Lonchura striata: one gene and its partner. The protein of the gene in region 1 purifies or fractionates together with the protein of each later gene. This does not show direct contact. Links are inferred from orthologs where the notes say so. Each region holds a gene or a part of one and is shown in the gene's direction. Other genes may lie near its edges.

Evidence for each region.
Region 2: the proteins of ARRDC1 (region 1) and ZMYM2 purify together in Homo sapiens (affinity purification with mass spectrometry; 3 studies listed by BioGRID and IntAct, counting the BioPlex papers as one, with this or other methods). This does not show direct contact. The link is inferred for Lonchura striata from reciprocal best matches to the Homo sapiens genes ARRDC1 and ZMYM2.

Annotation. Positions count from the first base shown.
Region 1 is NC_134624.1:4,150,733-4,157,763, reverse strand, and holds the start of ARRDC1 (arrestin domain-containing protein 1), read left to right. Parts: upstream 1-3,954; 5' UTR 3,955-4,029; coding exon 4,030-4,147; intron 4,148-7,031. UniProt on the Homo sapiens protein: Functions as an adapter recruiting ubiquitin-protein ligases to their specific substrates. Through an ubiquitination-dependent mechanism plays for instance a role in the incorporation of SLC11A2 into extracellular vesicles.
Region 2 is NC_134604.1:72,085,111-72,092,638, reverse strand, and holds the start of ZMYM2 (zinc finger MYM-type protein 2), read left to right. Parts: upstream 1-4,512; 5' UTR 4,513-4,652; intron 4,653-5,646; 5' UTR 5,647-5,704; intron 5,705-7,528. UniProt on the Homo sapiens protein: Involved in the negative regulation of transcription.

The DNA of each region.
Region 1 (7,031 bases):
CTCCTGCGAGGAGAGAGACTCTGCAGGGAGGTGTGGCTGAACGGTACCACCTCTGCCTGAACTGCTGGAAGGTGTCAGCCTGAAACAAATGAGTAATTGTTGTTGCTGTTGGTATCAGATGACGTAGTTTACCCGCCGGCAAATCAGCTGAGAAGAGATGAGGCACTGAGTGAAGCAGGGAAATTATTTAGAAAGGTAATAAACCTGTGTAATATAAATATATTAAGGTAATGGATTTTATGTACACAGGAATACAGAATGGCTGTCAGTGGTGTAGGTAGCACGGGGAGCCCACCACGACAGTTCACATGTGTCTTTTTTCGTTCAAAGGAAACTTTAGAAACCTAAAGGTCAACTTGCACAAAGCTCTGCTGCTTTACTTCCCCCTCCATCACAGCCGCTCCGGTGCCTGCCCTTATGGGGCGGGGTGGGCTCACGCCAGTCACGCCCTCGCCAAACCAAGTAGGAGTGGGGGGAGAGATTGCAAACGCAAAAGAGAATTTGAGGGCGGAGAGACAGACTCATCTTGTCACAAGAGAGCAGGAGAGGCTCTGGGTGTCCCCGCGGTGCCGCCTGCCAGGCTCGCCCCTGTCCCCTGCAGCCGCGGGGCAGGTGGAAATGACCTGGAGGTACGAAGTGCCCCAGGGGAGCCGCGCCGCTGCCGCCGCCGGGAACGCGGCGTCAGCCACGGCCCGGGTGCGCCCAGGCATTTCCGCGCTGCCTCTCCCGGAGCAGCCCCGGCGCAGGGGAAACTGAGGCACGCTCAGGTGGGGCTGCGCCTCCTCCGTGTCAGCGTCCGCGTCTGGAAACTCCTGGAAAGACAAGAGGGGAACAAACAGAAGTGACAAGCAATGTCTGTGACTTAATGGTGGAGGCTTGTGCGTCTCGCACTTGCGGCCACAGCTGAGCCCTCCGTGGGCACATTTTCCCCACATGTGGCACCACTGACAGCTGCTCTGCCAGCACCTGTGCTTCCAGCTCGTCTGTGCTGCTGGCAAAGCCCGGCTCAGGTGCTGCTGAGAGGGAGTTTATTGATAATTTTTTTCCCTTTTAATAACTACTATGTTCTTTGTCAGAAAATTTCATGTTCCTTGAAGTTAGGGGAATGTGGTGACATCTGAAAGGAAAATTTTATTCTAGAGCTTGTCTTGACATTTTTCTTCTCTCTTTTTAAATTTCCCTTTTAATAAGGGGGAAGGGAAGCAGGGAGAGCACACAGAATGCAGAGGAAGTGAGATTTCCCACCACAACAACAAAACTCTTCAAAACATTTTTTTTTTTTAAGCAAAACAATAGTCAAAAATATCAGAAAGCAAACCATGGCAGTTTACTAAACATCCTTAGCTTACTTTTTTTTTAAACTGCTCTGAGTTTTAACTCCAATGAGTCCTCACACAAATAGATAAGAGGAATGGCTCTGGGGTGAGCAGGGAGGTAGGAATGTAAATACACGTTTTGACTGCAGTGAGTAAAATCCTCCTGAATATGGCATCACTGGGGGGATGATGGGCGCCCTGGCACTGCAGGCATTGTATACATTGAATTATAGAGTCACAGACTGGTTTGGGAACTTAAAGATCATCTCTCATTGCATCCCCTGCCATGGGCAGGGACACCTTACACTATATCCTAGGATGTTTCAATCTCTGTCCAGCCTGGCCTTGCACAATTCCAGGAATCCAGGGGCAGCCACAGCTCCTCTGGGGGACCTGTGCCAGGGCCTCATCTCCTCTGGGGAACCTGTGCCAGGGCCTCACCTTCCCCTAAGAAGGATTTTTCTTCCTAACATCCAATCTAACCCTGCTCTCTGTCAGTTTAAAACCACTGTCCCTTGTCTTGTCACTACCTAGCCATATAAAAAGTCCCTCTCTTTCCATTTTTTAAAGCCTCCTTAAGATACTAGAAGGCTGTAATGGAGTCTCCCTGAAACCTTTTCTTCTCCATGCTTCAATTATATCAATCCAGTTACATTTTACAGACTGCTCTACCCAGTGTAGCTGTGATCCAGGGGATGGAGCTGTCCTGTGGCATTGCTGCTGGCCATGGCATGACGAGGGACTCTGTGTATCTTAGCACAAATCCTTGCAGAACTGAAGCTGTGCCTGGGTGCTTTTGTTCAGCTCCTGATGCAGGAATCCTTTTTACTCACGTTGTGACCTTGGGCGAGCAACTTTGCTGTGCTTAAAATTATCTTCTCTGCAAACAAAGTGCATAAATCTCCATGTCAGGTGAAGCTGCAGCATGGCACAAGGGGCTTGGGTTTGGTGAAGGGTTTTTCCACCCTGAGTTGTCACATGTGTGGTGTCCCTCTTGGGCAAGGGTGCCAGTGCTGCCCCAGAGATGGTGTAGCCCTAATTGTGCCTCAAAGCATGATCCTTTGGCTACTTTCCATGGGGAAAAAGGGTTCAGTAAAATCTGCTGTAGCTCAGGGTGTTTTCAACCCCCCTCTCTTCTCCTAATTTGCTTGGTTTTGCTGGCAGAGCTAAATAGGGGCTGCAGAGACTGATGAAAGAGGCTGCAGGCTCGTCTTACAAAATAAAAAGGCTGGAGCAAATTGGCGTGCCTAGCCTGGGAAAACAGAAGCTAAGGGCAGCACAAGGAGAGCGGTGTGCGGACGGATCCCAGGGTACGCCCTGCGGGAGGAGATGAGCTGCAGAAAGCCTTGGCACAAGACTGTTGTGTGTCTGTAGCCTGTGACTACACGCAGCCTGGAAACCAGAGGAGGAGGGAGGCCCTGGAAAGGCTTCCCAGCAGGAGCCCTGTGTGCCTGGAGCACACGAACTCCTTTGGTACCTTGTGAGGGTTTTCAGGTTGCCAGAGCCACCACAAGGCAGCACGGAGAGTCCCACAGCCCCACATCCCCAGGCTGGTGTCACTGTGGGGCCGTGGGAGGATGTCTGTCTGTCCAGCCAGGTCTGGGCTGGGTGTGCTCTGCAGATAAACAGCTCCTTTTACACTTATTCATTCTGCCTGTGTACACAGCCTGCTCGCCAGCGGCCGGGAGGTGCCTTTTCCTGGCGCTGCCTTTGGTGTGGGTTTTACAGATGGTTTTTATTCAATCAGGCAGAGATGAGGGGAGAACATGGCAAATGTATGAAGTGCGCTGGTCATCCCTGGCTTCCTGGAACACTCTGACCTTCACCCACTGATCCACAGAGAGTACGGGGTCATCAATGACTCTTCAGCCCCAGTCCCAGTTTGTTGTCAGGTCCCTTGTATTTGCCTCTTACAGGACACTTAAAGCAACTGGGGTCATACAAACAGGAGCAGGGAGAGGTGACAGCTGGGGCTGGAGAATTACAGGGAGGAAATGAGATTAGAGGGAGCAGGGATCACCAGGAGGCAAGACGGCCCTGTGTTGGGCAGTCAGCTCCTTCCCCCAGAGCCCGACCCCACAACCACTCCTTTCCCCCAGAGCCCGACCCCACAACCACTCCTTTCCCCCAGAGCCCGACCCCACAACCACTCCTTTCCCTCACATCCGACCCCACAACCCCTTCTTTCCCTCAGAGCCTGCCCCAACCACTTCTCTCCCTCAGAGCCCAGCCCCACAGTGGCTCCTTTCCCTCCCAGCCTGACCCCACAACCTGCTCCTTCCCTCAGAGCAGTCAGGGACCCACCATTCTCTTTCCCTCACAGCTCAGCCCCACAATCTGCTCCTTCCCTCCCAGCCTGACCTCACAGGCAATCCCTTCCCTCCCAGCACAGCCCAGCCCCTGAAGCTGCCCTTTCCTCCACGGCTCCTTCCCTTCTAATAGTCAGGGCTGCATCAGCTACCCCTTACTCCATAGCCCGACCCTGCAGCAATGAGGGGTCCATCAGCTACCCTTCCCTCACAGCCTGGCCGCACAATTGCCCCGTTCCCCGGGCACTCGGCACCCCCGCACTCGCGGCGCCGGGCCCGCCCCGCTCCCTCAGCGCGGCCGGGGCGGGGCGGGCCGGGGCGGTCCCGCCCGCCGGGGCCGGCACAGCGCGGGCCGCAGGTGCGAGCGGAGCGGAGCGGAGCGGAGCGGCCGGGCCGGCGCGGCCATGGGCAAGGTGCAGCTCTTCGAGATCCGCCTGGGCGACAGCCGCGTCGTCTACAGCCCCGGCGAGCCGCTGGCCGGCACCGTCACCGTGCGGCTCTCGGGCTCGCTGCAGTACCGAGGTGAGCCCGCGGCCTGCCGTGCCCCGCGGGGCGGATATCCCGGGGAGGGGCTCGCGGGCTGCCCCGGCCCGCGGCCGGGCTTCCTCCCCCGGCTCTGCGGACCGGCGGCTCCGGGGCTGCCCCATCGCTGCCGCCCCCGCTGCCATGCGGCGGCCGGGAGGGGCTGATGGGAGCAACCTGCTGGATTATTTCCTCCTTCCTCCGCTTCCTCCTCTTACTTTTTGCTCCTATCCCATAAAATAAGGAAACATCCTCCCAACCCCCTTCCCACAACGCCCCAGCGCGGGGCTGTGCCACGGCAGCCTCCGGAGCTGGCGGGTGCCCAGGGTGGCAGCGGGAGGTGGCGGAGGGGCTCGCCCGTCTCGTTCGGCTTTCCCGGAGTCCTGCGGCTTCCCAGGGCTGCCGGCATCGCCCCGGCACAGCCCCGAGCCTGGTGCCCTGGGTCGGACGGACGCGAATGTGTTGGGCAGGGAACTGGGCGGAGGTGGGCGATGCCGTGTCCCGGCAGGAGCGGCACCCACCCACCGGCTCGCAGGCACCGTCCGCAGCCAGCAGCCGTGTTGTAACGTCTCGAATGAACTGGGGCATTGGAGTTGTGGCTCTGCGAGTGTGGGAGATGTCCGCGGTGTGTACGAGGTCCTGTGAGTGCCAGCAGTGGTCTGGAGCAGGAGTTGTTGTTGCTCCACGCAAGGCTCAGGCCATGCTCGTGGCTGGTGCAGTCCGTCGGAGCAGAGGGATGGGGCTGGACTGCAGGGAAATGAGCTGGCTGGGCTCGGATCATCCAAACTGGGAGCTTCCTCCCCCGCCTGAGAGAAGTCATTCGCATTTGCAAGTCAGCTTTGTGCTCAGTGCTGTGGAAATGTGAACCAATTTGCTGTTTTCCCTGAGGTCTTGCTTGCTTCTCGTGTGTGCATGCTGCTTCCTTTGTAACAAATTATTGGAGGGGGGAAAAAAGACCAAGTAATGTAAAATGTGAAGTCTCTGTTCAAGAGCTGTCAGCCTGGATGATGGTGCCTCTGCCTGCCGGTGCCTTGCTTTTGAGAGCACCTCTCCCAGTTGTCTGCAATAGCTTTTGGAAGCTTCTTGTGGAAAAAAAAAGTATCTAGGACAAGTGTAAACTTGTAGCCTGTTAAACTCCTGTCAGAGCAAAACAGTCGCAGATCCAGCGTTTATCTCCTTGGAGAATACTCCTGGATGCACTTCCAGCAAAGATGTTCCTAATGAAGTCTGGCTGACTTCCCTCGGCCCATCCCATTGACTTCCATCCATTCCTGAAGGTGCTTCTTGGGAGGGATGAGAGTTTGGCCTTAGAGGGTTTGGTGTGCTGGCCCTTTGTGCTGCCAGCTGGCCAAAACTACTTGCTGCTGCCTCTACAACTCCCATTTGAGGAGGACCTGCCAGGTTCTATTCTACACCAGCTCTCCTCTGCTTCCTGGTGTTGTTGTAGGGAAGGAGAAAGGCTTCTCTTTGTTCTAGACCTCCTTTCTGCATCCTTATTGCCTTGATTCGGAGAAGTATCAGGGTCTGGTGTTAAGTACAGGTCCTGAACTCAGGAGGGGTTTTGCTGTGGGATCTGGTGTTTGGGGCTAGTGCAGGGATTCTGGTAAGAGCTGGGTAAGAGCTCTAGGAAAGCTGTCAGATGCATTGAGCCGAAATCTGATGTGGGCTCCATGTGATTGATGCTTCTGTTGTGCTGAGATCACTGAGCAGCTCTTCTAGACTGTTTCATGTACAGTGGCTTCATGAGCTGGGCTAGAAACTTTCCATTACTGGTGTCAGAACTCACCCAGTTAAGTCACATTTGGGTGTGAAACCAACTTCTGCCAAGCACAGGGTGACACTTTGCTGTGTGTTCTCCCTCCTGCTGGTGCTTAAACCTTCCATACTTCATTTCTTGGGCACCCTCTCCTTCTTCCTGGATGAAGGAAGTGTCCCACCCTCAGAGGAAGAGGTTCCTGTAGCTGCTTGAAACATCCTTTTGCTGTAACAGCAAAAGAGATCTTAAAGAGACTTGTGAGCCCTGTTGAGCACTGTGGGCTCGGCACTAGAGGGATCAGACAACCTGACATCCTCTGGCTTCCTACTGGGCTGTGAGGAGAGCTGTGTGGAATCAACTCATTTTACATTGTATATGCCCCCCCACACCTTCTGTGGCCAACTGTGACTTTCCAGGCTAATAAACTGCTTCCAGGAGAAGACACAAAGTCTCACCCCTGGCAGGTCTGGCCCTCAGCACCACGATTTGGTGCTTTCCATTTCCTGAGCCAGGCGAGTCTGGCGCGGTGACTTCTCGGTGCTGTGGTGTGTGAGATCACAGCCGGAACCAGCCTGGAGGTGACTCCTCACACGGTAACTTCTGGCTCTTGCAAATTACACCTTCTGAAAGGTGACAGTGCAAACAAACACAGCTCGTTGTGCCTTGCTAAACACGGGGGAAATCTTGGGTCATGGGGCAGCGTAGCTGGGGACACACCTTTTTGGGATCATTGATGTTCCCACTTAGACTGGCGTCAGTGCCAGCCCTGCTGACTGGCACTGAGGGCTGTTCTGGAGCACATCTTCTTCAGCTGACCTTGCAGCAGCATCACAAATACTGACTGGTCCTTGGTGACTCATGTGGACCTTCTGAGGAGCCACATTTCTTCCTGTGCCTGTGCCAGGGTGAGGGACCTGCCCAGAAAACTTCTGAGCCTCAGGGGAGAGCGCTGATGGAAATGGAGAATTCCTGATCATTGTGCCTGGTTTGCTGGGTAAATCATCAAACGTGTGTGCACAAAGAATAATTAATCTTACAGGAAGCTTGCGCAGGGACAGCTGGAGATGGAGTTAATTTGTGGGGAAGGAGGAGGGAAGCCAGTTCATTTGGAGCAGGGCAGGCAGTCCT
Region 2 (7,528 bases), on another chromosome or scaffold:
TAAACACCAGGGAAGGAGAAGATCTATTTAAGCCAAAGGATGAATATTGGCACAAAAATGAATGGATTTTTGAATAAATTTAGTCTGAAAATTAGAAGGAAGTTTCTAACCACCAAAACAATGAAATTCTGGAACAGATTTGTGACAGAAGTAGGGGGTAAACATATCAGGCTACTATTAAGATGGGGCTTGAAAAGTTTCTGCAAGGGATTATATGACACAGTTTCCTCTAATAGCAAGATAGTGGACTCAGTGACCTAAGCAGTCTCTTTCAGTTTTAAGAGCCTGCCTTCTGTTTTGTAATACCATTTCTCCATTAAGACGAGAGATCAATCCAACTAAAACCCTCAAATGTTTAAAAATTAATAAAAATTACTTTGCAAGTAAAGATTATGTTGATTATTGTAAACCCCCTTAAAATTATTACAGAAGAACAGTTACAATCTTATTCTTTCAGTATGGGAATGTCTGCTATGGGGAAATTGCCCAGATCAGATCATAAATTGTTATTTACTGTTCCAAAGCTTAAATATGGGATGCAGCATAAAGGTAATTTGAAGACATATTATATTATGCAATTAATAATAATCTTATAGGATAGGATATATTGTCTACTTATTTAACCATTGGAAAGATCACTTTTGGTTAATTAAACTGAAAATTACACAATCTGCTTATAGACAGGTAGTGATTTATTTATAAATATTACAAAATGTATATGTAGTCCAACAACCATAATGAAAACCACAGGTAATGTTCTGTACAAAGCATTTTTTTGTAATCTAAAAAAATTCTATGGGTTCTGTTACGTAAAGTAAAATCACACATATGTGGTATAATGGAATCATAGATTGATTTGGGTTGGGAGGGGACATGAAGACCATCTGGTTCCAACCCCTGTAGCATGGGCAGGGGCACCTTCCACTAGACCAGGTTGCTCAAAGCTCCATTGTACCTGGCCTTGAACATGGCTGGAGATGGGGCATCCACAGCCTCTCTGGGCAACTTGCTCCAGAGCCTCAAAATCCTCATAGTGAAGAGTTTTTCCCTAAGTATCTTTTTATTAAGAGCTTTAGTCTACAAAGAATAGCTGCTATGCCTGATGAAACTCAAAATCAGAACACTGGTAGAGGAAGTAAAACCAAAATGATGAAGCTGTTACTGATCATAGATGTTTTAAGATTCTGCTTTCTTTTGTTTTGATTTTGTGTTTTTAATTTCTTTTCCATCCACTACTATTTCTTGAAGTTTCTCTTCTTAGTATTGACCAAACACTAGTAGACCACAATTCCATTATGCCATGACTATGAGAACGTATGTTCCATCAACCTGTACACTTTATTCGCATCTTTCTTTTTTGTGATGGCCAAGAGGGACTGAGGATAAGTAGATAAAGAAGTAAGATTAAGGACAGAAAAGTAAGAGAAATATTGGGAGAAATGGTAGGGGAAAAAAGAAAAGTTGTTCTAAGCCTGGAACAAATGCCACTATATCATAGATAAATAACGTTGACAGCAGGAGGTGGCTTTAAACTATGTTCATCCTGTTATTACAATACAATATGCATCACTTGAAGGTTGCCTTGGTAAGTGCTTTTAAGATGTCTGCTCAAACATAAACTTTCCAAAATATGTCCGATTATTCCTTCTCAGTTCAAATACAGTTGACTGTTTTTTGAGAAAATAGTCCTCCATTACAGCCAGAAGGATGTCACTCTTGTTATAAGGTGATAAAGAAACTCTTGGCTCAGCTTTGTTGAATTTATCTACTCCCAGTCAATACATTTGACATTTTCTAGTAAGGTTACTGACATCAGGCCTGTCCATGAAAGAAGTGTCCATATAAATACATATGCTTCAGTTCTCTGGTGCTCATGAAGAGATTTTACTGCTTAGCATATGAGCTAATGCTAACTCTTTCAAACCATAAAAATAATTACTCTATATGAATTATTCTTAAAAGTAATCTGAATGATACATGGTTCTACAGAGGAAGAGGAATTTACATGGTTGCCTGAACTTTTTGTCCCTTTTCCTGATGTCAGTTGAAAAAATAAAGGAAAAATTATGGTGTATTTAATTACTTTTGGCTATATTTCAACATATGAATTTAAAACTAAGGTTACATGTCTATAGGGGGACAACAGTTCTGTGGAGTTATAAACTTTATTATATAAAAACATTTCATATAGTTCCAAGAGTGCAAGTGAAACCATTCAATTTTGTTTGAGCTGTGTTACCTAAAACATTAATGAAAATGTTCTATTGCTACGTAACAGACCTAGATAACACTGTTAGGTAATGTCTCTTGCTATAGCAGCGGTAAGATGCAAAGTATTCTCCAGTTACTTTTCATACCCCAGATTACTAAGAGCAATAGGTTTCTCTTAATGTGTTCCTAATTAGAAAAACACTTGTTTTCTACCATGCATTGCTAGTGCTTCAGTCCTCTTGAATTTCTTTCTGAACTCCATGAGAACATAAATGCTTATGGATAAGCACTGTTGTAGAACAAAAGGCATCTTCCTGAGATGTATGACTAGGAATGTCGGCAAATTTGTAATATGGAGGACAACTTAAAACAGCTTTGAATTTTACCAACCTAGATGATATTCCAGGCTAATGATGAGGATGGTCAGGAACTAGCTGACTTGATGGAGTGAATGGGATTCAATGTTGAAATTTCAACAGCTTTCTGGTTACATAATTAGTCTGGTAGTGTGATACTGCAGATCAAATGTTTTATCAATTTATAGGGCAACTTTGATACCTTCAAAATGGGTGATGATGCATGCAGACATGACACTTTCCTCGTTGGCAATGGTTGTATTAGAGTGCTTTGCCATCAGCTCACGTAATTTTTTGCAGGCAAGCTGCTGCCAGCCCTGAGGGAACTCTGTCCCTCCACACCAAATAGCCCTTCCAAGCTTCATCTAATGAGCAGTATGTCTTGCAAAAAAAGCGCCAAAACCAGCAAAACCAAATCCACATTAATTCCACTCAACAACATAGAGTAACAGTGCTGGAGAAGCTTTTGGCTTGAGTTGTTGATTGGAGCTAGTGTCTCTGGGTGGCATCATTGGGAAGAAATTAGATGTATTGTTGTGACAATGGACGATAGAAAATTTTCTCGTCTCTCCCACACATGAAAATTATTAGCCAAACACATCAAAGGTGGTGGAGAGAGGAGACATCCCTTCAACGACTCCTGCGCCGCTCGTGAGGGAGGCTGTCCCTCAGGCTGATCCCGCGGGAGGCTCCAGCTCCCGACTGGAAATGGCGCCAGCCGCTGAAACCCAGCGCCTTGCGCACGCAAGAGCCGCTCTCTCCCCGGGGGACGCTGCTGCGCATAGTTGACACGGATTGATCCCGGCTAGAGAAGGCAGGGCGGGCATTGCGCTGTCTCTCTCTCCCTCTTCTGGGCAGAGGAGGATGGGTAGATGGAGCAGAGCGGGACCAGCGCGCCAGACGGTCCTCGAAGGAGCGGGCGCTGGTGCCATGGCCAGCGACGGGGAAGGAGCCGCGCAAGGGAAGCGCGCATCCTCCATTTTGGCGAAGGGCGGGCGGAGAGTTGGCTCCCGGCGCCTGGCCGGAGCAGTCGCTCCCACCCCGCGGCATTGCCGGGGGCACCCGGCTCCTTTTCCCGCGGGGAAGCCGTAAGGAGGCTGTTCAAATGGACGCCCCGCTGCGCCTCACGTTGGTTCGAATTGGTACCAAGCTCCCCGCAGCGGCTTCCGACAAAATGGAGGACGCCACCACCACTGCCACCACCAACACCACCACCACCACCATCTCCTCCAGGAGCCATGTCGGCGGCTGATATGGCGCCCTCCCCCGCGGCAGGCGGGGGCAGCAAGGCGTCCTCGGCTGAGGAGGCGCTGCTCGGCGGGGCAGGCTGCGGGGACGCGGGTCAGGCGCCCTCCCTAGGAGACGCGAACTCTCCCTTTTCCCTCTGGGAACGCTTCCATTACCCATGCTCTATCCACCATGGGAATGACCCCAGGTTCAAAACCCTGGTGAGGGGAAGGAAGGAGCGGAGTGGGGCCCTTTGGAAAAGCACTGCCAGCCCCTATGGCTCAGCGCGGGGTCCGGAGTGGGAGAGGAGAGCCCGCGCCCCACGGCCGTAGCGGTGGCGCCCGCAGGGAGCGAGCGCACGGCCGGGACGGCTAGCGCACCCTGCCCGCGGCCGGCGGCGCGCAGCCGGCTCGGCGGCACCGAGAACTTCTGCGAGTTGCCGCTGTCAAACAGCGGCGCGGGGAGCGCCAGCGCAACCCTTGGGCACGGGTAACAAGCCGGTCAGTGGGCAGCGATCCGGGTTCCTCAAACCTGATGGATCAAAGTGGGAAGAACCCCAAGCATGGCCAAGAGGAAGATTGGCAGTTTATAGGGTCAACCGGCTGCGGGCGGCTCTGATGGATGGGCGGCGCACCCACTCGGCTAGCCCAGCGCCAGAGCCCGCCCTCTGGGAAAGCCAATGCCGGGGCAGGGAGGCGGATCTCCCCGAGCTCCCTTGGCCCGGTTCCTCCTCCTCTTCGCCAGCGGCTGCGCTTCGCCCGGGACTGGACCGAGTTAGAGTTGAGGCGCCGGAGGAGTAGCGCAGAGTGCGTGCGTCCCCCGCGGGGGGGTTCGTGCCCGCAGGCGGTGGGGAGCCGGGTAAGGCGCGGACACGGGGCGCTGCGCCTCACCGGGGCGGGCTGGCGGGGGGCTGGCAGCGCTTAGCTGCCCCCAGGGCGGGGATGGGAGGGCAACCGCCGTGCCTCACAGCTACCCGGCCAAGTACCCCGCGGTGTCGCTGCCGCGCCGCCACCTCTGGCGGCGGGGATGCGGGCGGCACCGGGGGCAATCCCGCGCATAACCATCGCGCCGCGGCGGGGGGCGGTGGGGAAAAATGGGGGGCGCCCGGGGGCAGCCCCGAAGGGGGGGGGCAGGGGTATCTGGGGGAAGGGCCGGGTCTGCTCTAGCGCCTCCTATTTTAACTCTCTCCGTCCCTTCCCCGCCGGGCCCTCGGCTGTTGTTCTGCCCCTGTGCCTCCCCCACCCACCGCCCTCGCAGCCCCCCCGCGGGTACCTCCCTCCCATCCTCTCCCCTCCCCTGCCCGGCGCTCCGCGGCTCCCCTCCCGTATTGTTCGGCTGGGTCCCTCTAATGGCGGACAGGAGGCGGTAGTGCCGCTGGCCGACTGCAGGGGGGCAAACCCGAGACCGGGGGCAACTGCCGCGGGGGGCGCGGGCGCTCGCCCGGCGCCGGGGCCGTGCCGCTGAGGGCCCCGCGGCCGCTCCGGGCGCCGGTTCGGGGCTTACAGGGCAAGTTCGCAGGTAACACTCGCTGCTCCCCGCCGTGGGTGCCGCCGCTGCCTCTGTCCCCCACACTCGCGGTAGAAGCCCCCCGGTGTGGCGGCGCCCGGGGACAGCTCCTTGTCCCTCCTTCCTTCAGCGGGGACAAGCTGCGTGGGTGTGCCGTGAGGTGTACCCCACCGCCCCCGGCGAGGGCAGTAGATTTGTTTGTTTGTTTATTTATTTGAAAGATTGGGATTAAAGGGAAGTGGTGAGTGATGCAGGCAGTACCTGCCCTGGCCAGGCGATGGAAACGCTCCTTGGGGGCGCTGCCTGATCCTCGCTGCCCCGTGTTAACCCCATGTCTTTCCCTTAGGCTCCAGCCCAGTTTGGTGCAGCCTTGGCAGCGACCAACAAGGAGAGGGAGCTCCATTGTGAGTGCTATTTGTGTATCTGTTTCTGCCTTTGCCAGACCTCCTAACAGCGGGCTTGAACCATTCCCCCCGCCCCGTATTCTCCTGGGGCAAGGGGTGGAATGAGGTCCCTCTAGGGCTGGGTGGGGAAATTCCTGCGTTCAGTAGCCGCTGCCCTGGGGCGAAGCCCCAGTAATGGCTGTGAGGCGGCTCCTCCTCGGAGTGGGCGCTGCTGCTGCTGCAGACATCGCTCCTGCAATACCAACTCCGGCAGGCAGACGACGGGCTGCTGCCGCTGCTCACGTTACCCGGCTCGGGAGGGAGGAGGAGGAGGGCATATTTCGGGTGCCCTCTAGAGTTGTGTAGCGTGCGTGAACACCCGTGACAAGACACCTTCAGCCATCTTGAATTTTTCTCCCCTCCTCCATTGCTCGAATCACGTGTCCCGCGTATCATCTCGAAGCTAAGAAGAGGCATGGGAGGTTTAAAATCACCCAGCAGTTTGTAATGGAGAAGCACGCTCCATGGTCTCTTTGTGACTGGTTCACAGACTGGTTCTCTACACCCGCAGATTTGTATGGGTGGTCTTGTTGGGTTTCTTGGCTGGGCTTCTGAGCCATCCACTTTGTCCCTTCCCCGGGAAGCTGGAGGACACTGGTGAAACCCACAGGTAGCGAGCATTTTTGGTGTTTTGTCTATGTGGAATTTTGAGAGCAGATTTTGATCTCTGTTGGGTGTTAGGTTGGCTAAGGAGAGGCTTGTTGCCTGCCAATACCTGTGGGTAGGACTGGGATATAACTTGAATCTAGCTTCTACCCTTGTTAATATTGGGGCTGTATTTTTATCTGCATGGGGGATTCCGAAATGGCCAAGTAGCGCGGCGAAGGAGCGAGTGAGGGTGCGAGCGCTCGGGAGAGGCTCGGGAGCTGCCGCGGCGGGCCCGGGCGCGGTGCGCGGGCTGCGCCGCCAGAGGCGCCGGCGGCAGCGCGGCGGCTCCGCCAGGAGCGCGCAGCCCGAGAACAAAACAAAAAGGCAGCGCCTCTCTCGCCCTATGGGTCCCTCGCTTGGTTACAGCACGGATTCAGGTGTTGCGGTCTTCCCCAACACTCGTATCTTGGATTTCCCCCCCGCCCCGTTTCTGTCCCTTTCTGTTTTACATTTTCCAGATTCGCAGAGCTTGCAACTTTCTTTGTCACTTTTTGGTGGCTTACATATACAAAGAATAAGTCGTTCGCTGCAAAGCCTCACTGCTTAGGATGAGGACATCAGATCTCTATTTGTTCTGCACGTATAAAATTATGAACTGCATCAAAGACTTGTAAGAGTTTACATGGCATGTTATCTTTAATAAAGTTGTCTGTTCCAACCCTTGACTTGCTACAGCAGCTTAAAATTTTGAACAGTAATTTTTAAATTCTTACCATATCTTGGATGCAAGGCTACCATCTGATTTTACTTCTGATTCATTTTTTATGCATTCCAGTCTAATAGCTGTTCTTTTTTTTCCGATTATCCTTCATGTCAAATAAAGTTACTTTAAGGAAATATCAAGGCAAATGATGCTTTGGAAGAAGGGAGACTGTTGTGTACTGGAGGTGGTAGGTGGCACATTGTCCTCCTCCAGCTGCAATGATGGTGGTATAGCCTTCTTATGGCATGTGATAGGACCATGCTGTTCGGGGTATTTGGTGCTTAGTGCTGCAAGGTCATCTCTAGGAACCAAACTCGTCAGCCATGTTATTTGGTGGTTAAGCTAAGTAACTTATTTTAATAGAAGTCTGTCTTAATTAGAGCAATAAATTAATTTTATTATCTACTAAATTGGCTTTATATTGTTGTTATTAA